Nothobranchius furzeri: one gene and its partners. The protein of the gene in region 1 purifies or fractionates together with the protein of each later gene. This does not show direct contact. Links are inferred from orthologs where the notes say so. Each region holds a gene or a part of one and is shown in the gene's direction. Other genes may lie near its edges. The genes, in order: xab2, plrg1, aqr and sf3a1.

Evidence for each region.
Region 2: the proteins of xab2 (region 1) and plrg1 purify together in Homo sapiens (affinity purification with mass spectrometry; 3 studies listed by BioGRID and IntAct, counting the BioPlex papers as one, with this or other methods). This does not show direct contact. The link is inferred for Nothobranchius furzeri from reciprocal best matches to the Homo sapiens genes XAB2 and PLRG1.
Region 3: the proteins of xab2 (region 1) and aqr fractionate together in Homo sapiens (co-fractionation; 3 studies listed by BioGRID and IntAct, with this or other methods). This does not show direct contact. The link is inferred for Nothobranchius furzeri from reciprocal best matches to the Homo sapiens genes XAB2 and AQR.
Region 4: the proteins of xab2 (region 1) and sf3a1 fractionate together in Homo sapiens (co-fractionation; 3 studies listed by BioGRID and IntAct, with this or other methods). This does not show direct contact. The link is inferred for Nothobranchius furzeri from reciprocal best matches to the Homo sapiens genes XAB2 and SF3A1.

Annotation. Positions count from the first base shown.
Region 1 is NC_091745.1:2,820,964-2,827,053, forward strand, and holds the start of xab2 (pre-mRNA-splicing factor SYF1), read left to right. Parts: upstream 1-2,401; 5' UTR 2,402-2,524; coding exon 2,525-2,560; intron 2,561-2,850; coding exon 2,851-2,999; intron 3,000-3,308; coding exon 3,309-3,432; intron 3,433-3,522; coding exon 3,523-3,720; intron 3,721-5,126; coding exon 5,127-5,261; intron 5,262-5,475; coding exon 5,476-5,640; intron 5,641-5,768; coding exon 5,769-5,913; intron 5,914-6,000; coding exon 6,001-6,090. UniProt on the Homo sapiens protein: Involved in pre-mRNA splicing as component of the spliceosome. Involved in transcription-coupled repair (TCR), transcription and pre-mRNA splicing.
Region 2 is NC_091744.1:17,225,648-17,230,451, reverse strand, and holds part of plrg1 (pleiotropic regulator 1), read left to right. Parts: intron 1-247; coding exon 248-397; intron 398-1,623; coding exon 1,624-1,725; intron 1,726-2,151; coding exon 2,152-2,254; intron 2,255-2,645; coding exon 2,646-2,754; intron 2,755-4,730; coding exon 4,731-4,804. UniProt on the Homo sapiens protein: Involved in pre-mRNA splicing as component of the spliceosome. Component of the PRP19-CDC5L complex that forms an integral part of the spliceosome and is required for activating pre-mRNA splicing.
Region 3 is NC_091758.1:25,985,895-25,992,129, reverse strand, and holds the start of aqr (RNA helicase aquarius), read left to right. Parts: upstream 1-2,161; 5' UTR 2,162-2,278; intron 2,279-2,627; 5' UTR 2,628-2,648; coding exon 2,649-2,735; intron 2,736-3,005; coding exon 3,006-3,062; intron 3,063-4,598; coding exon 4,599-4,639; intron 4,640-4,729; coding exon 4,730-4,765; intron 4,766-4,872; coding exon 4,873-4,993; intron 4,994-5,117; coding exon 5,118-5,258; intron 5,259-5,656; coding exon 5,657-5,725; intron 5,726-5,890; coding exon 5,891-5,991; intron 5,992-6,111; coding exon 6,112-6,188; intron 6,189-6,235.
Region 4 is NC_091757.1:36,509,011-36,515,048, forward strand, and holds the start of sf3a1 (splicing factor 3A subunit 1), read left to right. Parts: upstream 1-1,753; 5' UTR 1,754-1,968; intron 1,969-1,987; exon of another isoform or gene 1,988-2,078; coding exon of another isoform or gene 2,079-2,102; exon of another isoform or gene 2,103-2,156; coding exon of another isoform or gene 2,157-2,332; intron 2,333-2,422; coding exon of another isoform or gene 2,423-2,591; intron 2,592-2,679; coding exon of another isoform or gene 2,680-2,844; intron 2,845-2,920; coding exon of another isoform or gene 2,921-3,090; intron 3,091-3,165; coding exon of another isoform or gene 3,166-3,243; intron 3,244-3,326; coding exon of another isoform or gene 3,327-3,984; intron 3,985-4,072; coding exon of another isoform or gene 4,073-4,223; intron 4,224-4,303; coding exon of another isoform or gene 4,304-4,551; exon of another isoform or gene 4,552-4,616; intron 4,617-4,621; exon of another isoform or gene 4,622-4,744; intron 4,745-4,836; 5' UTR 4,837-4,868; coding exon 4,869-4,916; intron 4,917-5,749; coding exon 5,750-5,862; intron 5,863-5,959; coding exon 5,960-6,038. Other genes in the region: ccdc157 (coiled-coil domain-containing protein 157), read right to left, coding at 2,157-2,332, 2,423-2,591, 2,680-2,844, 2,921-3,090, 3,166-3,243, 3,327-3,984, 4,073-4,223, 4,304-4,551. UniProt on the Homo sapiens protein: Component of the 17S U2 SnRNP complex of the spliceosome, a large ribonucleoprotein complex that removes introns from transcribed pre-mRNAs.

The DNA of each region.
Region 1 (6,090 bases):
AAGCTATCTAGGATGATGGGCCTGGTTGGAGTCGGGAGAGGCAGCGATAAGGCTGAAGGAGAGATGCTAGATCTAACCTTATTGACTTTGTCCACAAAGAAAGACAGAAAGTTCTCACAGTCTGTAACAGAGTGGATGGAGGCTGTAGGAGAGGCAGGAGAGACAATGCTGCTGATGGTGTTAAACAGCACCTTGGGGTTCCCTTTGCTCTGGGACACCAGGTTGGAGAAATAGGAAACCCTAGTGTCTCTGACTGCAGAGTTAAAGGATGTCAGAAGATCCTTTAGGTGCAGCAGATGGACATGGAGATGGGTTTTCTTCCACAAACGCTCAATTTTTCTGCATTGGCGCTTCAGGATGCGAAGGCTGTCATTAAACCAGGGAGTAGGGTTCACTGCAGGAACTGATCTGGTTCTGACAGGACAGATGTTGTCCAGACTGAGATCCTCATCTGTGCTCCAGACAAGCTGGTTCCCGAAGTCAGAGACTCTCTTGGTCAGCTTGCTTCCCACACCAATACTCTCTAAAACCAGACTGAAATTTCTTAAACAGACCATTAGTGTCTAAATGCTCACATAATCGATTGGCCACTATTTTTTAAAAATCTTTAGATGAAAATGTAAGGTTAGATATTGGTCTATAATTTATTAGGTCATCTGGATCCAGAGAAGGTTTCTCAAGTTTTTAGCAAGGAAAACATGGTAGAGCAAGTCCAAAGTGAAGGATCCTCGTGCCTGCTTAGTAACTAAATCATTTAAGCTGACCAAGAATATCGGGCTTTTCTGGTCCACTGCGGTCAAAGTTCTGTGAGTCAGCCATTGTCGACGCACTGGCAGCATCAACTCGACTACTGGCGCTGTGTCGAAACGGAGCCGGGAGACAAGTCCACACTCTCAGTATGCGGCTGAGCGACTCAAAAGTGAAGCAGCGTCAACTTAAAGGGTTGCGGTTTTTCTGTGGTCTCCTTCAGAGATCCACATGTGACTAGTTGACTACAGCCTTGCATCTGAGATGGTCTGTGTGGCTCGGCTGCCTCGGGAAACTGGAACAGCCAGATGTCTGCTCCAGCAAGTGTTTGTTCCTGGGCAAGAGACAGGAGAAGCCGGGCACCCGCTCAATTTTCTTATGCAGCCCCACTAACATGTTTGACCAAACAATTAAATGACACAGCATTTCCCGCATTCAGCCAGCAAAATAAAGTACAGAAATATAATTTTACTTACTGAAAAGAAGCAGAAATTGCTTGGGTGATCTGTTATTAGTGCAGTCAATAACCACAGTTTTGTGTCCAAATAGTCCCATAATTAACATCCAAACATGAACGCACAGAAGACACAGCTAAAATTCAGAGATTCGAAATGGCCGAACTTCTATTAATGTGAGAACCAGGCTGAGGCAAGCCTGGGCCTCACCGCTAGCTCTGAAGTCACAAAGCTCTGATGCTCATTAATTATTTCACCTTTCCAGCACCTATAATGCAGCACTGAATCTAATTCCCAAACAGTTTCAGTCTATATGTTGTTCATTCTGTTTAAGAATTGTGTTAACTACTGTTGAAAAGCTAATAAACAGACCTTATTTGGGAAAAAAATATTCTTTGTCTAAATAAACTTTTAATCTGTCATTTGACTTGATTGATGGACACATACTTTGTCCATAGGGGATTTCTTACTTTCATTTAGGTGAACTGGGTGGAAACAAGACAACACTGTTGTTTTTTAATATAAAATCTTTCAAAACCTTTTACATTAAATTGCTTGCTGCAAAAAATTCACGATAGCTTTGCTGAGTTAGTTTAGAATTTTTATTTTACACCATGTTGAACACATTGACTTGATTTTGCATAGCAGCAATAATTGACAGTTCTGTATAATAAAAGAAAAAATAACTAAGAAATGTAAATATTTCATTTTTGACTGTTTATTAAATTATGATAATATTTGCTTTACAATTGCACATCTGAGCATGATAGTGCATCATGCAAGATAAGCACGAAAAAGCTTTGGCTTCAGGCAAGTACAAAAGGTTTTTTTCTTCTCTATTTATTTTTTCTGTATGTAATTATTTATTTAAATAAAAATATTATAATTATTGCTTTATTATCATCATTTATTATTTGTTTTGGTTTGGTTTATTTTGAATTATCATCTGTAAGCATAAAAAAGTGTAATAGAAATGTAAAATCAGAACAAACATTCATTTATTCAAGTTTAAAGGATATGAAATGTTATACCGTAGAGGGCGATGTGCTGCAATTCTGCATTATCGGCTTTTGGAGTTACTGTTGTAATCCTCACGATTTACCAGTCTGTGGCGGTAGTCGTTTACTAAACGCGATTAAACACAAGAAGAAGAATGTTAACCTTCGTAGTTCTTCATGGTTGTTGTAGTCCTTTTGTGTTGCGCGTGCGTATTTCGTTACCGGAAGTTACGAAGAGCTTCACGTTTCGAGTCCACAAACTAGCTTAGCTTTTCTAAAGTTAGGATTATTTAAAGTGGATATGTTTTAGTTCTCTGCGAAGTAATGCCTTCCATAAATGGAAAAGCGGATGTTATCTTTGTGAGTTACACGCTAAAGCATATTTTTAGTATTCGTTACAACAAGCTATAACTTTTACGCATTGCTAGCCTGATAGAGAGCATGGCATATTTACCATTAAAACGTGAAATATATGCAGTCAAACAAACGTTTTTATGTTTGAGTTACGTAGCTTTAGTAATTGTTTATCTGAAGCACGTAATGTACTATACATGTAGAATGCTGTTGAAGAAATACTGCGCTTTCGCGCTACATTTGTTAGCTTTACAGAAAATCACTGTTTTGTGATTCGTTACGGCTTCCCTCTTTAGGAGGATGACGACCTTCCTTATGAAGAGGAGATTATCAGGAACCCGTACTCGGTCAAGTGTTGGATGCGTTACCTTGAATTCAAACAGAATGGACCCAAAGCCACCCTCAACATGATATATGAGCGCGCTTTGAAGGAACTACCTGGAAGGTAACATAAAGAAAAGTTGTTACATGAACATTGAGGTTATTTTAATCGCTGTGAGCACACGTTGCAACTTCCAAGAGCAACGATGTATCTGGGGATTTTTAGTAAGCTGGAACCTTTACCAAACATTACTAATGTGACTTAACATCATTTAAGATCACAACATGCCCTGTAGGTTATAAATTGTAAGTCGCTTTGGATAAAAGCGTCTGCCAAATAAATAAACATAAGTATTTAGTTGTATACACTGACATTGAGCTTGAATCTGTTCTTGTGTTCTATCTCTTGTTAACAACTTCTTAACCTTTACAGCTATAAACTGTGGTACAATTACCTGAGAGAGAGAAGGAAACAAGTCAAAGGGAAATGTATAACTGAGCCCACGTATGAAGAGGTCAATAATTGTCATGAAAGGGCACTGGTGTTCATGCACAAGGTACTGATGACTCAATTAGAAACATTTTAGCTGTAAACACAGGTGGGAGTTGTATTTTATAACTAACCAATCAATCTTTACTTAATCTAGATGCCTAGGATATGGCTTGATTACTGCCAGTTCCTCGTGTCCCAGTGCAAGATTACTAGAAGTCGACGGACACTTGACCGTGCACTGAGAGCCCTGCCTGTTACTCAGCATCCACGCATCTGGCCATTATATCTTCGCTTTGTCCGTAACCTGCCTCTACCTGAGACAGCCATCCGGGTCTATCGGAGGTACCTCAAGGTGAGATTCTACTGTACAATTCTGTTTTTAAAAGTTAAGCAGATGTTATGTGATGGACTGGCAATCGGTTCAACCCATGTCTTGCCTGTTAACAGCTGAAGATGAGCTTCTCTACTACTTTTGGGTTTACTTTTCATTTTGTTTCGATAGTGTACTTTAATTCAGTCGCCTTCATCAGGATTATTTTGGGTACAGGAAAATGTGATTATACTTCAAATTTTAGGTAAAGATTTGTTGACTAGGGTGACTATATCACCTATTTTCCCAGACATGTCCACTTTTCACTCTGTATGGGGTGGTTTCCTATATTGATTAAAATGCCCAGTTTTTCATCCAGGAGCAGGGTTTGAATTAAGCAGGAGCTGGATATCTTACATATCCAGGGAGAGCCCAAAAAAGATCTTGTTTCTACCTACATTACTTATTTACATGAACTCTCAGCATACTGGGGATTCTTTTGAGCAGAGAACAAGGAGAGCGGCAGAGCACTGGTTGCTCTCCAGGCAGCTGCGTCCTGCGTTCGGCCACAGTGCTCCGGTGATTTCAGTTCCTTTATTTTTTGTGGCCAGTAGATCTCCTTGATCTGCTTAGTTCAAAAGAAACTCATGAAGTGAAAAAGTAAGAAGCTAGGCAGCAGTTTTTCAGGAGGACTGAGGAGATACAGGAATATCGGAGACGGACGGGACAGAAAAACAGTCAAATATATAACAAGAAAACAAACAAGGCTTGTAAAGGAAAGTGTAGATAGATTTATCCCCCTTATGTATAAAACAGTAATTTATAAGCACATGATATGTATATATTTAATACTATTCAGATCACCTTTAAAACTCAGTCCCACACCCAGGGCCATTTCAAGGCCTTTTGGGGGCCAATGTAAAATAGAACACCCCCACTCCATGTCACATGGCCCCCCCAAAAGCCTCTGTGTAATTCATACCCTGTCCAGGAGTATTCATTTTACAGTGTTAGTAAAAAGACCTCTGATATTAGGGACATGTTCTAAAGTTGTCTGACGAATAAACAAAATTGGACATGCTGTCTCGTCTGCTTCTTCCAAATTTTCAATAATACATCAGTAACAAACCTGTTTGAAAGCCACTAACTGTGGATTCTCTGGAGGTTTCCACAGAGTCTGTGACAGACTTTGTTTTTCATTGATCTGATTGTCTAATCTGTAATGATGCTGTAGTAAATGCGATGTTTAATAATTCCCTATTAATATAGCATTATAGCACTAAAGCAGCAACTTTGTTGGCGGAGTCTCGTATTAATTTTAGCTCTAAGCCAGGTGTTCTGACAGCTTTGGCATAGTGTAGGCACAGTTCCCCTGTCCTCTTTCTGGGAAATGGAAATATGGTCACCCCATTGTTGACATAAATCAAAATAGACATTCTTTTTTGTAGCTCTCTCCAGAGAATGCAGAAGAATACATTGACTACTTAAAGTCTGTTGGTCGCTTGGATGAAGCAGCAGTGCGACTAGCAGCAGTTGTTAATGATGAAAGTTTTGTGTCCAAAGAGGGCAAGTCCAACTATCAGGTAAGATTTTATTGTCGTTTTAAATACCGTGTGTGTGTGTGTGTGTGTGTGTGTGTGTGTGTGTGTGTGTGTGTGTGTGTGTGTGTGTGTGTGTGTGTGTGTGTGTGTGTGTGTGTGTGTGTGTGTGTGTGTGTGTGTGTGTGTGCGCAATAAGTTTACAGAAAACCCTCACAGCCCTTATTTAACTTGTAGTTTTTGTTGTTGGTTTTTCCAGCTGTGGCATGAGCTATGTGACCTGATCTCTCAGAATCCTGATAAAGTGACCTCTCTAAATGTTGGAGCCATCATACGTGGAGGTCTCACACGCTTCACAGACCAACTTGGAAAGCTTTGGTGCTCTTTAGCTGACTATTACATTCGAAGTGGCCACTTTGAGAAAGTGTGTTTCCTCTGAAGAGTGTTCATTAATGTTCATAAATCACTATTCATAAGTAGTGTGTTTAGTTTTAGTCAGTTATTTAACTCTTTTAACTATTTCAACTTTTTCTGATCGATTTGTTTTCTCAGGCAAGGGATGTGTATGAGGAAGCCATCCTCACAGTGGTAACAGTCAGGGATTTCACACAAGTGTTTGACAGCTATGCCCAATTTGAGGAGAGCATGATTGCTGCAAAAATGGAGACTACCGCCGAGATGGGTCAGGAGGAGGAAGGTTTGTTCATTTTCATTAAGAGTGAAAAAGATTGAACATCGACAAGAACACACTTCTTATGAATGCCTTTGTGTTGCCGTTCTCTAGATGACATAGACTTGGAGCTCAGATTGGCGCGCTTTGAGCAGCTGATAGCTCGGCGTCCTCTTCTGCTGAACAGTGTACTTTTGAGGCAGA
Region 2 (4,804 bases), on another chromosome or scaffold:
AACATTCAGGTTGTTGTATTTTGTGTAGGTGCAGACATTGCAATACAGTTTTTTAAAAAGAAATCCTTTCAGTATTTAACCCTTACCCAACGTTTACATTTTCTAACGTTAATGTCATTTGAGCACAAAAAAATGCTTTAATGTTAGGTAAGGGTTAAAACGTTTGGGAGTGATACCAAGGTGGCTCTGTTGCTGTTAAAGCTTCTGTGATGATCCAGAGATAACTGGAAGGTGGTTGTCTCTACAGATCTGGGACCTGGCCAGTGGGAAGCTGAAGTTGTCTCTGACTGGACACATCAGTACCGTTCGTGGTGTAGCAGTGAGCAGCCGCAGTCCGTACCTCTTCTCCTGTGGAGAAGATAAACAGGTCAAGTGTTGGGATCTGGAGTACAACAAGGTACGTTGTTTGGATTAGCTCAGGGTCATCAGGAAGTTTTTTTAAAGGAGTTTTTGTGCAAATTTAGTACAACTGGGGCTGGGCGGCATGGTACATTTTTCATATTGAATTGGGGCTGGGCGATACAGTCTAAAATCAGTATCACGATATAGTGAGGATTTCACCTCGATAACGATAAATGGACGATAACTACAGGTTTGCGCAGAAACAAAAGTTGTCCACTAGATGGGGCTGTCACATGTACCACCTTAACTCACACTTTTACGTGACTCAAGGTGGAACAGCTTCTTAAAGGGACATGAATGTTGCCGACCTACACATATTTTCATTTTTATTATCAAATTACTTGACATGGGAACAATGATCTCGATAAGAGTCAGAAATTTCTTTAACGATAAATTTTCGATTTATTGCCCAGCTCTATGTTGAAGCATCAGTTTTACGGTATTTGAGGGCATTTTTTTCCCCACGCTACACTCCACATAAACCCTGAGTCGGTCTGAACCAAAAAGCACCTGCTACGAACAGGTTGTTTGCTAGGCTACATCTGTTAGCAAGACAAACATCAGAGTAATGAAAGCATTTAGAATTGTATACATTATACATTAAAGTATATTGGTAATGGCCAGCATGACATGTTGACCACTTACAGGTTTCGAAAGATTGTACATAAAAAAAAAGGCGTAGTCTTTGCTGTGAATCGGTCCAGGCAGCCGCCAATTCTTCCTGGTGCACTAGTCCAACCCCAAAGCCTTGGCAGCCAATCAGCAGAGAGCTGAACAAACCGAAGCTAGCCTGGCCTTAACCAAAAGTGCCCAAAACACAATATCGGTGTGAAACTGCATGTAGACAACATGTTCTGTGTTTTTAGTGCATTAACAACGCAGATTTATGACAGACAAACATAAGTTTTAGTCCTGCTACCTCTTCTAGCTTCACACTTAGCATGCTAAATGTTTACTTTACTTTGGTGTGACTGTGGAGCAGTTAATTTGGTCCCCCGCTGAAACACTTTCCCACATTCCAGACCTTGTCTGAGCTATTCACCATGTCAGCAGCATATGAAAGATTAACATCATAACAGAAACACACACCGGTTTCTAGTACAGACCTGTGTACCACAGGCATATTTACTACTCTATTTAATCTAAAATAACTTGGTTTTGTGTATTTATAGCAGTTGTGGTATTTTTACAGCCTCACGACAGCATTGGTTTGTCTTCCAGGTAATCAGGCACTACCATGGCCACCTCAGTGCTGTGTATGATTTGGATCTACATCCAACCATCGATGTGCTTGTGACATGCAGCCGAGACGCCTCAGCGAGGGTGAGTTTAGTTTGGGCTGTGTTGGAGCTTGATGGGAAATGTGGGTGTAGAGGTGGCGACTGCATGAAGAGGTGGAAGAGAACGTCTCTGAAATACACAAACACACAATACAAACACAAACTACAGTTAATATGCTATCCTGGACCAGAGATGTGACTGCAGTGGTGGTGCGACGCCCTCTGTTGTCCTGGCAGGGAATCGCTTTGCAACTCTCCCCAGTGAAAACGTCGCTGTCAGTGCGTGTGTGCCGCTCTGCACCCGAGCTGAGGAGGAGGAAAACATCAGTGATGTGTAACCTAGAGATGAAAGGGAATGTGTGTGTTGTTTTAAACCATGAGACCAATATGGTTCTAGTTTGGTGGGATTAGGCCTCTGTCTTGTTTAATCCCAATCCTGACTGGGACTGGATTTTCTTTGTGCTTTTAGGTGTGGGACATCAGGTCAAAAGCAAACGTGCACACACTTACTGGTCATACCAACACGGTGGCTACAGTCAGATGTCAGGCTGTAGAGCCACAGATCATCACTGGTGAGTAGATTTGAAGCCAATAACAGTGATTATGGCTGCTCCACTTGGGGGGGGGGGGCTTGGTCTCCATTGTGTTTGTTATTGGTGAAATCATTATTTAACTTGATGACTTGTTGACTTGGGGAAACACTCCACCATGAATGCTGTGGTGCACCTTATCAAAATAAGAGCCCGAGTGATGCACGAGATTAATTTTTATACACTATATTATAAATCACTTCAGAAGTCTTTTATTCATTTTGATTTAAAGGAACACAGATTCTGTGGTAGAGCTGATCTAAAGTGTCAAGAGTTCAGGTTTTAAGCAGGCAGTTTCATGTTTGCAGGTGACAAAACTGTGTGTGTGTGTGTGTGTGTGTGTGTGTGTGTGTGTGTGTGTGTGTGTGTGTAGGCAGTCACGATGCAACCATCAGGCTTTGGGATCTGATCGCTGGGAAGACCAGAGCAACTCTGACAAACCACAAGAAATCTGTCCGAACTCTGGTGCTGCACCCCAGACAGTAAGTCCTCACGTTAGCCAATTGATTGGCTTTATTGAGTTTAAATTTTTGTTTGACTACAGATTTAATTTGGTGATATTCTAAAAAGCTATTCTTATCCATTCCAAATTGGGAGACTATTCTATTAAATGGGATGAAGTCCAGTCCTTCATATATGTGTTCCAGGTATAGGATCCCTTTATTTTTCCAGTCCGGAAGGTTCATCATTTTGTTATTTTGCAAAATATCAGGATTTTTCCAGATAGGTGTGCGTCTGCATGGTACTAGTGTAGACTCTGTCATTTTAAGATACTCCCACCATGCTGTCAGAGAGGTGATGATACTAATACTTTTGAAGCCTTCATGTTTTCTTATGCTTGAGCTAATAAATGGTAAGTCTGAAAGCTCTATCGTATTGCAAAGTGTCTGTTCCATATCTAACCAGGACTCATCTAGTGGGTTATCTTGCAACCATCTTGGTATATATTGCAGCCTGTTGGCTAAGAAAAATAATAAAAGTTGGGTAGATCCAGTCCTCTTCTATCTTTGGTCTTCTGAAGCGTTTTTAAGCTAATTCGTGGAGGTTTATCCTGCCAAAGGAATTTAGTAATTGAGGAGTCCAGAGATTTAAACCAGTCAGCTGGTGGTTTGTTTGTGATCATCGAGAATAAGTAATTTATTCTGGGTAAGACCATCATTTTAATTGTAGCAACTCTCCCCATGAGTTATATTGGTAAGGATTTCCATCTTGCAAGATCATCTTCCACTTTCTTTAAAAGTGGGATGTAGTTTAGTTTGGTTAGATCTGCTAACTTGGGAGAGATATTAATTCCCAGGTATGTGATATTCCCTTACTCCAATTGTGTATTAAGTAAATTGACAAAAGAGAAATTAATTGGTAGAACTGTGGATTTTAACCAGTTTATAGAGGAAACTCTTAAAAAAGAGTTTATCAGTTCTATTGCTTGGGAGAGAGAGGATTGAGAATTCCGGAGAAAGAGTAAAACATCATCTGCATAAAGACTGATCTTATGTTCTATTTTCTTACACTTTATCCCTTTAATATCTGTTGTTTGCCTAATTGCTGCCGCTAGTGGTTCGATAAAGATAGCAAACAGTGAGGGGGAGAGTGGAAACAGTTTTTAACATCATCCTGCAGGAGACCACAAAACAGTGCCATTCGGGGGGGGGGGGGGTGTTAATATTTTGCCTTTGGGGGTTTAGGAACAACAATTTCTTTTCCTTCCGTTGTGCTTCACCAGTAAGTCTTCCAATTTAACAAATACAGGTTGTTTTGGGCAATTTCTGCCGATGTCATTTCCTACTGAGTTACAACCAGTCGTGAATTAAAGAGCAAGTCACCCCCTACCACAGTCTTACTCCACTCCCACTTCCTGTTTGAAAGGAAAACTGACCGAGAGGGCGGAGCCGTTAACAAATACACACCCCACTGTGCGACATTATAATGTACCAGCTAATGTCATAGGGTACCTCTTAACCAATAGCAATGGCAGATTTAAATTCAAATGCAGTGCTGAGTTTTTACCTGCAGAGGGCGCAACACTGACAGTTTTCACAATTAGACACTCATTTATATAGTTAATCAGTAAAAACAAGTTGATTTGGGGGTGACTTGCTCTTTAAGTCTTTCCCAGTGACTCTCCAGGTCTTTTCTGAGTACATACCCCAGTGCAGGTACTTGGTCCCTGAAGTGGAGCTTTTGGGTCTGCCAGGTGAAAAGGAGAAATGCACATGCCACGAAGGTCCGGTAAAGTTACCCAGAGTTTCCGATAGTAGAAACGGGCCTACTCAGTCATCAGTGTTTTCACCATTTCTCTGTAATAAAAGCAGTTCTAACACCTAACCAAATGCATCCATGAAAAGTTTGGGTTGTATTTGATCCGTTTAGGGGTCACTAGGTACACCCCTGACTGGATTGTGGATTACATCTGAGCTACAGGGTTGTAATTTAGCAAGTTTTTTCATTCTTTCCACAGATACACATTTGCATCAGGATCAGCTGATAACATCAAGCAGTGGAAGTTCCCAGATGGCAACTTCATCCAGAATC
Region 3 (6,235 bases), on another chromosome or scaffold:
TACACCTGGCAGAGGGGATTCTGCATTATCTCACAAACCAGCCCCAGTTTGTGAGAGCCCAGGACTGTGTGCCTGACCTGCTGAACTGCAGTGCGGGCGCCCCTCAGGGGACTGTTTTTACACCCTTTATGTTCACCCTGTGCACTGCTGACTTCAGACACAACACGGACAGATGTGTTCTGCAGAAGTTCTCCGATGACTCTGCAGTTGTTGGCCTGATCACAGAGGACGATGATGTGGAGCACAGAGGACTGACACAGAACTTCGTGGACTGGTGTCAGCAAAACCACCTCCTGATCTCTGTAACGACTCATATATCTGTAACAACTCGTTTATCTGTAACAACTCGTTTATCTGTAACAATGCCACTACTGTCATCACCATTCAATACATGTGCAATATTTACTGCAACAATCATTATTATGTGCAACAACTATCAAACTCAGAATTCAACACTTTTTCAATTCTAAGTAACATATTTACATCCTTTTTGTGTGATATATTTTGTGTACTACTTCTATTTTACTTTACAGTACTTGTGCTGTTGCAATACCACAATTTCCCCACTGAGGGACTAATAAAGGTATTCTTATTCGTAGTATTGTGAAACCATACAGTCAAACTGATTTTACAACCCAGACATCACAACATCTCTCTGACACTTACAAGTTTATGCTAAAACATCTAGCTTACATTCCATCATTTCATCCATATTTTGTCATGTATAATCACTTAGTTTAGGAAAATAGATTTTTTTTCTTTTATATCATTCAAAATAAAAACAAATAAAACATATAAACAATAAGAAAGACATAACAAAAAAATTGATTTGAACGAAAAGGAGCAGAATGAAGAAAAACATTTAATAATTTCTGCCCCCTTTTTCAGTAGAAATAATCAATTTATACATAATTACCATTTGTCAGACACACATACAGATTCATTTTAAACCTTTTCCTGTTCTAAATTCCAGTGTGATCATGATCATTGATTTAATTTACATTTTCATAATTAGTTAGTAAACTCAATTTGGTACATTTTTTGAATAAATTAAATGACAGTTTTTTTATTTCCCTTTTAAGGCTATTCCATAATTTAACACCATTTACAGATATATTCCACTCCTTAATTTTTGTTATAAATCTAGGTTTTGTAAACACATCAGTTTCTTTCAGCATCCCTTGAATGTTTGTTGGCAGAGTACCTAAATTGGCTTTATACATGGTTTGTAAGATTTTCCAGTCTTTTAAATCATGAAATTTCTGTAATTTATATTTTATAAACAATGGGTTCGATGGATCTCTACAGCCACTATAATTGATGATTCTCAGAGCTCTTTTCTGTACAATAAATAAGGGTTGTGTACAGTTTTTGTATGTTGCTCCCCAGATTTCTACACAATAATAAGTCAAGTATGGAACAATCAGTGAATTGTACAATGCCAACAAACCAGAATTAGTCTGTAAAAACTTGACTCTATGTAATATTCCTAAGGATTTGGCAATTTTACCTTTTATGTAACTAATATGAGATTCCCATTACTTCATCAATAAGAACTCCAAGCAATTTAGTTTCTTTTACTCTTTGAATTGCAGTCCCATCTATTTCCAATGACACATCACTGTTCTTTTTTATCATTAAACAGTATAAAATTTGTTTTATTAAGATTCAGTGTCAATCTATTTATATCAAATCAGTTTTTAATTTTAATCAGTTCATCATTAATCATTTAAGCCACCTCCTTAGTTAATTCATTGTTTCAACCATATCCTTGACTCTGTCTGAATTAATCTGAAGTGTGTGTTCCCTGAATAGTCAGAGAACCTAAAGGAATATTAAAGACCAACAAGGTTCATATTCCATAATAATATGGAATATCACATCTTATTGATCATTTCACAAATACGCGGATAATCCTCACTACACACACACAGAGAGAGAGAGAGAGAGAGAGAGAGAGAGAGAGAGAGAGAGAGAGAGAGAGAGAGAGAGAGAGAGAGAGAGAGAGAGAGAGAGATTAAAATTTATATTAAAAAATCTCACTCCATGACTTTTGTAAAAAATTGGCTGAGCTGTGAATTTATTAGGTGTAATTTTACCGCTCTATGTCCAAATTCGAACAAGGAATGTAAGGGAACTAAAGAAACAGTTTTGTACATGAGGGACAGTTTTAGTGACGTACCTATTCCAGGAAGTGGAACGCTAACAGCGCGTCGTGGTTGTATACATGGCTAACTTGCTGTAGTCATACGATTCATGAGAATATAAAATAATAAAGGTTAGTAATGTTATTTTTGTTTTTTGTTCGTGCTGTTATGTTAAAAACTAATAGCAATAATAACGTTTTTATCTAGAACTTTCTTAGCTGTATCTAAGCGTGGCTAACCAGTTAGCTGTTCTGTCCATTGTGAGAGCTAACATTTACTGATGTGTTTTTGTCAAATGTGTCACAGGAAACTAAGAAATAAAGTAAATGTGAAATCTGCTACTTTTTTTGTTCTACAAACCATTGGTTGTTACAACATTGGACTGTGGATTAGATTTTTCCGTATATTGTTGTCCAGAGCTGTTTCCTTTGAAACGACCGCTATCGCAGCCCTTCAGTGATTAACTGTATATTTTTGCAGCTGTGCTAGTTACTGTTGGACATGGAGACCACCACAGAAAAAGGAACTCCCGCTAAAAAGATTGCTGCGCCGTCAGTGTCTCAGATAAACGCAGAATATGTCACGCAGGTACTCGCATATTTGCTCTCCTTATCTAATCCTAATATGTACTGGATAAAGATAACTTAACTGACTCTATAGGAGTTAGACCAAGCAGAAAAAAACATGTTTTCATTACTTTTTAGTATTATTTAAGCACTACTAATACTATATATATATATATATATATATATATATATATATATATATATATATATATATATATTTATATACTACTATACAAACATCAATATATTTTGTCTATGTCTGTATTTGAACTTCTTGGCATCTGTTTTTCAGTTGGCTAATAAATATTGGGCTCCTCATGCAAAGGATAAACTGCCTTTTGACTCTAAGGTAAGACGGACAAAGCAGCATGGTAGATATGCAGTGAGAAACTTGTCGATGCTTGTGTGATTAAGATGCTCTAATGCTTGTGACAGCTGTTACAGCATGTTATTCTGAAGATGCTGTCCACTGCTCTCATTAAAAAAGTCCCTGTTATGCTGTGGTTCTACATTAAGGGAGAATTTGCCAATACATTTTAAACAAATCAAGCTAATTAAGCTCCAGTGTTAGCTCTTACACACACAAAGCTGGCATTGTGGAACCAGAGAGTGACAGCAGCAGGATTGGTATGTACATTTCCAGTGCATTTACATGCAGCCAGTAACCCTTGCTTTGTTGCACCTTTGCTAACGTGACTCAAAGGTGTAAGCAGCAACGTTCCATCTCAGTCATTTCACAAAGTGAAAAAGAGGCATTTCAAGTCTTTATCATTCACATTGATGACAAGACAGTAGGGCGGTGCCATATATCAGCCACAATAGTACTGATTAGGGCTGGACGATAGAGAAAAATGGTATATCGATAAATTAAACATTTTTTTTACTGATATTGATAATTATTGAAAAATATTTTATGTACACCCCTAACCATTTTATTTTTGGTATTTTTTATCCACCTCTTCTCGCTGCGACATCTTGCTGCCTCATGCTCTGTTTTGGTTTGGGGAGGTGGGCCTGGCAACATAGCGTGCCCGAGTCTGTGGTTTTTATTGGTTGGGAGTATGTAGTGAGTCTAGTGTGCTGTTACCTGATAGGTTATAATGAAAAAGGAAACTTTTTATCTCCACCACATGTCTATCAATAGATGTATTGAACTATGGAATTATTGTCCAGCCCTAGTACTGATCTAAACTGACGTGTGATTAAAAAAAATCATACTGTGATATAAATTGTGACATCATAAGGCATGTGTTTCCTTGTGAGTGCACTCATTAACTAGGTGATAGCATGCAAAAGTCTGTAGCTAGAGTCACTTCCCCACCATGCTCAATAGATCTCAGAAAATAAGATGGAAAGTGGTCTTTGTTTAAAATAATAGGTGCTGCTACCAGCAAGTTGCAGTCGCAGACAAAATGTTCTTATAATTTATATTTTGTATAATGTTATTGCAGATTTCCTTGAATTATTTTGAGTCTGCTTCACCTACCTTCAGAAGAAAGCTGACTACTTTCAGCATTTTTAATGTAGCTGATCTAGTAGCATATATTAGCCCTGTTTCTTAAAAGAAAATCACACAGGGCCTGAGTTTTCTTCTTCCTAGGAGGATTTATTTAGGCCAAGCAACATGGCAGGTTGAGTTTAACTCCTCACTGTTAGTGATGCCAAGGGAGATGGTCACAGAGCCTAAACGGTCAGCGTGTGTAAGGGTAGGCTGTGTGTGATTCAGATGGGCGTGCCAGACACCAGTTTTAATTGTAGTGTTCTACATTAGTTCTGTTGCTTTTTAATACAGAGATGAATGTTTTTTTTTATTTATATCTTGTAATGCTTTTCCTGCCTTTTGTTTGCCTTGAGATGATTTCAACATGATATGATGTGTGTTCAGGTTTTGGAAGATGTGTACGAAAAAGAGATTCTTACATCCAAGTAAGTAAATAAATAAATAGCATTGCTGGTGTTTTTTAATATTCTATTTGTGCATTTTTATTTATTTTTTATTATCTTTTCTACTTTCAGATTTTCCATCAGAAAAATTATGCTGCTTGAATTCAGGTGAACATTTTCATATATTCATTCTGCAGATTATTCAGCCCCCTGGAAGGGATCAAATTGTGGCCATACTATTTGCAGGGCAGATAGTTAATTTCCTCCTCTTTCAGTCAATACCTGGAAAATTACCTTTGGGTAAATTACACGCCCGAGGTGTCCAGCAAAGCCTTCATCATGTCCATTTGTTGCATCGTCAATGAAAAGTTCCGAGAGAATGTTCCAGCTTGGGAGGTAAGGAAAACAACAACATCATGCTTAGAGAAAATGAAGCTCTGCGTAAAGGTTCTGTTACCATACTTAACAGCAGAGGTGATTATTTAACACAGTATTAATGCATTTGTGTCATGATTATTAGGTTTTTAAGAAGAAGCCCGAACATTTCCCATTCTTCTTCAAGTGTGTGATGGAAGCTGTGTTGGCAGGCGACGAGACTGACCTTACTTTGAAGGAGCAAACTGTTCTCCTGGTCTTCTTGGACCACTGCTTCAACAGTCTGGTGTGTAGCACCATCACATCCTGGGCTATTCTGCTCAGGAAATACATTCTGGAGTTGGCCTAGGGTTTTATATACATATATATATATATATTAGAATCAAAACAAAATGATATGATATGAATATTCAGACCTAATTTTCACTGTTAAGGCAGTTATTAGTAATGCCCACTAGGTGGCAGTAGTAGACAAGCAAATCAGCCACCCGGCATCCTGAAAAGCTGAGTGACTAAAGAGAAACAATGCAGATGTTTAATTTCTTTTTAAATGGAGTATCCTGCTGCATTTTGATTGTATCCTATAAAAACATGTAAACATTTTGGTCACAGGGCTAAATTTCTGTCATAACTCTGTATATTTTTGTCTCTTTCTCCTTCTGCATGCATGCACCTCCCTCCCAGGAGGTGGATTTGATCAGAGAACAGGTGCAGCAGCTCATCTCTCTGCCAATGTGGATGTGCCTGCTACCAGTAAGATGTTAACTTCCTGCCTTAATGAAGTTTCTCTGGGGGTTATTGGCACCCCGAGTCATTTCACTATCAGGACCTGTCTCCTGTCTCTGACACTAATCAACAGTTAAACCATCTCATTCTCTCTTTTTTTTATTATTATTTAATTTTCTGTCACGCCTGCAGTCCAGACTCCAACACGAGCTGAAGAAAGTCCCAAAGCTGCAGAAGTTCTGGAATTTAATCAAGAAGAAATTTGATAAGATGGATGCTGATGCAGCTGAGCGGTAATATTAGATTCTGTGCTGACCTGTTCAAAACATCAATACAGACTTGAGAAAATAGCGTGTGATGTTCCAGCTGTGTTCCACAGTCTTTCTGATTTGTGTTCTTCGTGTCGTCTTTAGCGCAACCAGAGAAAGGTCCTTCCTCTCATCTCTCATTAAAAAGTTTACCGGAGTCCTCATGTCAATTCCACCAACAGGTAATAGGAAATAATACTTTTATCTATTTTATGATGCTGTTTGATGA
Region 4 (6,038 bases), on another chromosome or scaffold:
TAGTAAGAGTTTGGACTCTAAACAAGTTTTACTTTGCAGACTGCTTGTCTAAACCTTCATCAGATCTGCTCATAATAAAACATTTGGGTTATATTTAATGCCCAGGAAGATGCTCTTCCTGGGCATTAAGTTATCAAAAACAGATAAAAGTATTTTTTACCATAATTTTAACTGCTATCAGCTGATAAAAATAATAAAAAACAGCCTGATCATTAAAGGGGTGTAAGTGAAACCGCGCGGATCACACAAACCATCATGCTGTCTATATGACTTTGAAAATATATAGTTTAATTACAGTTTGATTTATTTGACATCTGTATAATGTTTATTATTTTGTTTTTTCCCCCTAAATGCCTAACGTTTCAGTTTAACATGAATATTAGTCATTCATCACAATACATAAAGTTACACATTTTAAATTTTAATAGGGGAAGACTGCAGGAGGGAGCGGTAAAATACAGAAATCCCCAGCAAAAACAAGAAACTTTACGAGTCTGATGAAACCCGCTGGAGTTCCTTCAGCAGGCCTGGTGGCAGCTACAACGACCCAGTGGCTGTGCTTGGTCAATGTTATCGAGCTCAGTCCGGCTCGGCCGTGAACGAGCCGAGGCGACATCCTGCTCTGCTTAAGAAGAGGTGTTATTTTCCGCTTCAGAAGAAGCGTCCGTGTTTTACGCTTTCTCAGAGACATGTCACGTTGCTAAGTTGTTAGCGCCGCGCGCTAACACGTCAATAGTGCAGCATAGCCTGCTGGAGGGTTCAGATGAAAACACCCTACCACTCAGGCTGCTTACACATCGATATTAAGTTGTCGCTGTTGCGCTCACGCCGTAATACAGTATTAGATGCGGTTAAAGTCAGACATGAAAAACTCCACGAGCGGTCAGACCGCGCAGCAGCTAGGCGCAGCAAATAGGCGCCGGATCGTCCAGGCTGCCCGGCCTGACCGCTGGGGATTACCGGATGGAAGAATGGACACAGAAGTCTCCCTCTTAGCGCTCCGTCATATTTCAACCCATTTTTATCTTAAATGCACTGGGTTTTACCCTATTACCCATCTAAATATGCCCTATTAATTATTTTACCGTATTTTACATTTAAATTTCATGGTTAAACAGTACATGCTACATGTTAAACTGATAGTTAGCTAGCTACTTCGGTAAACTCAGCTAGTTTAAAGGTAGCAGTGACATAAAATACGAATATAGATTTTAACTTACCGAAAAAAATGAAGTGGAGACTCCTTGGACGCTCTATTAGTGCAATTAATACCACTGCAAGTCATTTTGTCCAACAATTGCACCAATAATATCCAAAGAAGAATACACAAACACAGAGACTCAAAATGCCGGAGCAGTTTCCAAGCCAGACCGAGGCTGTACTGAGGCCTTTCCACGGAGCTAGCTCTGTGGTCACGTGGGTCTGAGGCGGCGGTCACGTGTGTTGGATGCTCATTAATTATACAGAATTTTAGGCTTTCAATACACTTAAACAGAAGAGTGAGAAAAAAATTCACCCCCCTCAGAGTTGTCATGAGTATAAACTAGATAATTTAGACAAAAAACATGTTTTGGCACCAGGCTGTAAACATGTTTATTTCTGCTGTGAAATCGGCATTTTTAACATGGGAGTCAATGAGGATTTGCTCGCTTCTGGCACCAGCCCCCAGCGGATGAGGGTGGAACTGCAATTTTTCTTACTTCCGGGATGGGACCATTTTCTGAGCGGCATTGTGGGGGCTTGGTTGCCACCCATGGCCTTTTGTTGGAATTATTTCGTTTTGGGTGGTAAAAGGCCGCAACAGAATCATTTGCATATCTTCACTGACCCCCGCATTTCCTGCACATCACAAGATGAAGTTTGGGAACAGAGAGAACAAGCTCAGAGACCTTTATGCTGACGTGTTCTAAACAGGAAATGCAGCACTGACGAGGATTAATAAAGCAACCAACGCTGTTTCTAATAAAGGCAAGTAAAACATGTCAGCTCAGTTTTTTCAACAATAAGGTTTTTATTTAGTCAGTTGCATCCACGTTGATCTGGTTTTTTACATGAAACTCCAAGGAATAAAACTGGCTTCATGTCTGCAGAGGTGCAGGTTCCTATTCAGACACATACATTACAAATGAGTTATAATAATCCCAACGGTGCATGATCTACTTCACATGAAACTCCTTTGTGTACATCCATACCCTGCAGGCATTTTGCTGAGCTCTTGTTTTCAATTTCTCAAGACTTTTGTGCAGAGTAGCATTTTCCTGTTCCATCACTTTTATACGAATTCTGTTTGCTTGAAGCTGTTGCTCCATATCCAAAATCAAGTTTCCTGTACCTAGAATGTAAATAAAGTCATGTGCTATTATTATACTGGAAATAAATCTAATCAAATATAATCAGATAATGTTATTCAGTAGCAACCTACTCTGAGGTTGGGCCTGGGACCAGTTGTTGAGCTCTGGGAAAGCCACCAGCAGTCTCTCCCTCTCCTTTAAAGAGTCCACACGCCTTGTCAGGTCAGCCACTTGCTTTTTCAACTCATCCGCATTTACTTCTAATGTCTGCTTCTCCTTCTGGAGCTCCTCACACAAATTCTGATGGAAGAACAAGAACAAAACAGACTTTATTATAACTAAGGCCATTTACAGTACAATTGTATTGCATTTTAGGCCACATATATACCTGCTGCTGCATGAGCTGAGCCTGCTGTTCCTCCACCTTTGACATCTGATTGTGTAAGGTGATCCGTTCCTCCTCTTTCTCTCCTAGCTCCCTCTGCAGCTCTTCGCACTCTTCATCGAGAGCATCAACTCTTTCCAGCAACGACTTTTGCTTTGCCAGCATTGACTGGATACACAATTATATTGAAAACAGTGTGAAGGATCCCCTTTATAGCTATGCTGGCCTTTACAGTGACACTGACCTCCTGCTGACGACAGGCGCTCCTGTACTTGGCCTTCTCCTTGTCAAGAAGAAATGTAGCATCAGAAACTTGAGTTTCTAGCTGTTGGATCTGTTCCTGCAGTCTGCAGCAGGCCTCTTTCTCTGTTTGCAGGTTCTTCACTTTCTCATGGAGTGCTTTCTTTTCAGTTTCTACCAGCAAATGAATCGTCATTATGCAGCATCATACTGTAGATGTGTTGAATGACAGAATCTGCATCTCATTACCAAGCACTTGTAAGCTGTCATGTTGCAGTGCTATTTTCTCCTTTAGTCTGTTATTAGTCTCCTCCAGGGACATATTTTCTGTCACAAAAATGTGAAAAATATTTATAGTAAAAACTATGATGTCAATACATTCTTGTTATAAAACCGATTGTGTTAACTACCTCTCTTCAGCTGTTGTTGCTCCTTTTGTAGCCTTTGCTCTGTTTCTTTTGAGGATCTCTGTGCTTTCCGTAGAGAAAACTCCAGCTGGACAGAGTTTATTTGGTGTTTTTCCAGCTCTTGCTTGAATTGTTTCTGTGCACTTTCCAGCTCAGATTTGAAACTGTCACGTTCCATTTCAGCTACGGCAATTCTTTCTTCAAGAGGCTGCACAGTACCCTGGACATCCTTAAGATGTTTGGTCAGCCGGCTCGTGTCCCGGAGCTGCTCTTCGGCCCACTGGGCTACATCGCCTGATGTCATGTCACCCACAATGTCCTCCATAGCTGCTGCGAGAGGCTGCAGAGATGAGGGCAAACCCTCACTCTGTAACAGATCTATCAATGCATCTCCCGTGTTTCTCAAAAGGGACTGCACCTGATGGCAAGCGCTGCAGGGAATAAGGGACGAACTTGTTGTCTGGCAGCTCACATGATGCTGCTCAGCTTTAGGATAGCATGGAGTGTTGTTAGTTTGTGGGACAAAATCAAATGAGCTTGCTGAAGACAAGGCAGATGCACAAAAGCTACTAAGTTCAGTCTTCGAGCTAGTTATAGCAGGGTTGGACAGCACCATATTTGTGTTGTTGGAGTCAAATGGCTTTGTATCTTTAAAGGGCTCCTGTGAAAAAGAAAGCATAAAAGTATCCAGATCTTTCATTTAAAATGCAATTTTTAGAGTATTTTGTATTTTCTAACATTAATACTACCTTTTTGTTGGCTGATAGGAGTAAATTCCCACAGTAGTTCTTGACCACGAGTCCAACTGACAAGTATGTTGTCTGCTGGGTTTGCTCTCCTCTCTGTCTGCCTCTCGGCACCTCATTGTAAACACTAACACTTTGTAGAAGTAGCAATAATCTTTTTAGAAAAGGAGAAAGGCAAATGTTAATAGAATTACTTTGGTAACAATGCATAACATATAAAACACATTTTATTACCTGTCAATCACTAATTCCAGTAAAACAATGTGGGAGTGCTGATTGAAGGCATCCTCTCCGTCTACATAGTCGTACTCCTCCAGCAGAGCCAACATGTCCACATTACAGGAGAGTTTGTCAGGGAACTTCCAAGAGGTAAAGCTGACCGGTCCTGTTCTGGAAAAGACGTCCACGATGGCTGCTTGGATGTCCGCCAGATCTTTTTGGAGGCTTTTGATGCAGTCTTGACTACCTAACAGCTCACTCATGATCCCCAGATTTAGTTTAATTCTGTCTTCGATGCGATGAAAAGGTCGAGCTCATTTGCATCACGTATCCGTGGAAACGGCAAATGAAACTCTAAGTTCCACAATGCCTTGCAGCTTGTTTCCGGAAGTGATACACCTCCATTATCTGACGAGCGCGCGACGCAGCAAGTGTTGAACCATCTGAAAATTCAAGGTTTGGACTGCATTGCTGTGATTTTAATGTGGATGTTTGTATGAAATTCCATTGAAATTGCAAATTCACTTCCTGGGGGTTGTATGTTTCAGGTATCAATCGGTTTTCACAGGCAGACCTAACCATGCCGCCTGGGCCTGTTCAGATAGTTCAGCCGGAGCCCAACAACAAGGTAATGCTACAAGTTAGCACAAGCTAACTGCCAAGCTAGCAAGACTTACAGTTTCGTTAAACTATTGAACCAAAAATATAGAGTTTCGATATTTTTGCTATGTAGCATCTGGACTTTTTTAATGTGTTGAATAATACAATTACACTTTTAACTATTCTACATATACGACCATATCCAGAGTACCCTAAAGCCGCATAACTCGAGACCCAAGGACTCGGACGTTAACTTTTCTCTCCAGAATGATCCACTCCACATTGAATTATGTCGAAGCAAATAACATTTATTCATCGTATTATATTTTAATGTTGTTTAAAAGCAACATATTGGAGATAGAGATCGCTTACTTCAAAGACAAACATTAGGATCCATACCTGATAACATAAAATCAAAAAGGCCTGAAAAGGAAAAACTGCTTTTAAATAAGTTTTATGACCGATTTTTTAGGCATTTCCCATTCTAAACGGATATTTTTTTCAACACTAATAAACATGTTTTCCTTTTTCCTACATGTTTATTTCATTCTTTGTTTTGATTGACATTTGCTGGTGTTAGATGTATTTATTTTTATTTAATTATTAATGTCTTTATTTTTTATTTTTAGCTTTTTTGGGTGGGTTTACACAGATGTTTCTATTTAACCAATAGTTCAGCTTTTTTCCCTGATTGGTTGCTAGATAGTCATTAAATTTTAAGCACTCAAGTCAGTGACAGACTGTGACAAGTCAATGATTGTTAATGTGTAATTCTTCATAATCTAAAATCACTCGTAGTTATGATCCTAAATATAAATTGCATTGTGTCTTTATCTTTTGATATGTCAACTATCTTGTCAGCCAAACGATGCACCTGCAGAAGAAACCCCGGCCACTAAGCCCATTGTTGGCATCATATACCCTCCTCCTGAGGTCCGGAATATAGTGGACAAGACAGCCAGCTTTGTTGCCAGGTTAGTTACAGTATACGTGTCACCGATCTGCAGTGAGAATTTCCCCAAGTATTTGTTTCCATTACACTCTTGTCTTTTGCTTGTTTTTCTTTTTCAGGAATGGGCCTGAGTTCGAAGCAAGAATCCGTCAGAATGAGATCAACAATCCAAAGTTTAATTTCCTCAACCCCAACGAT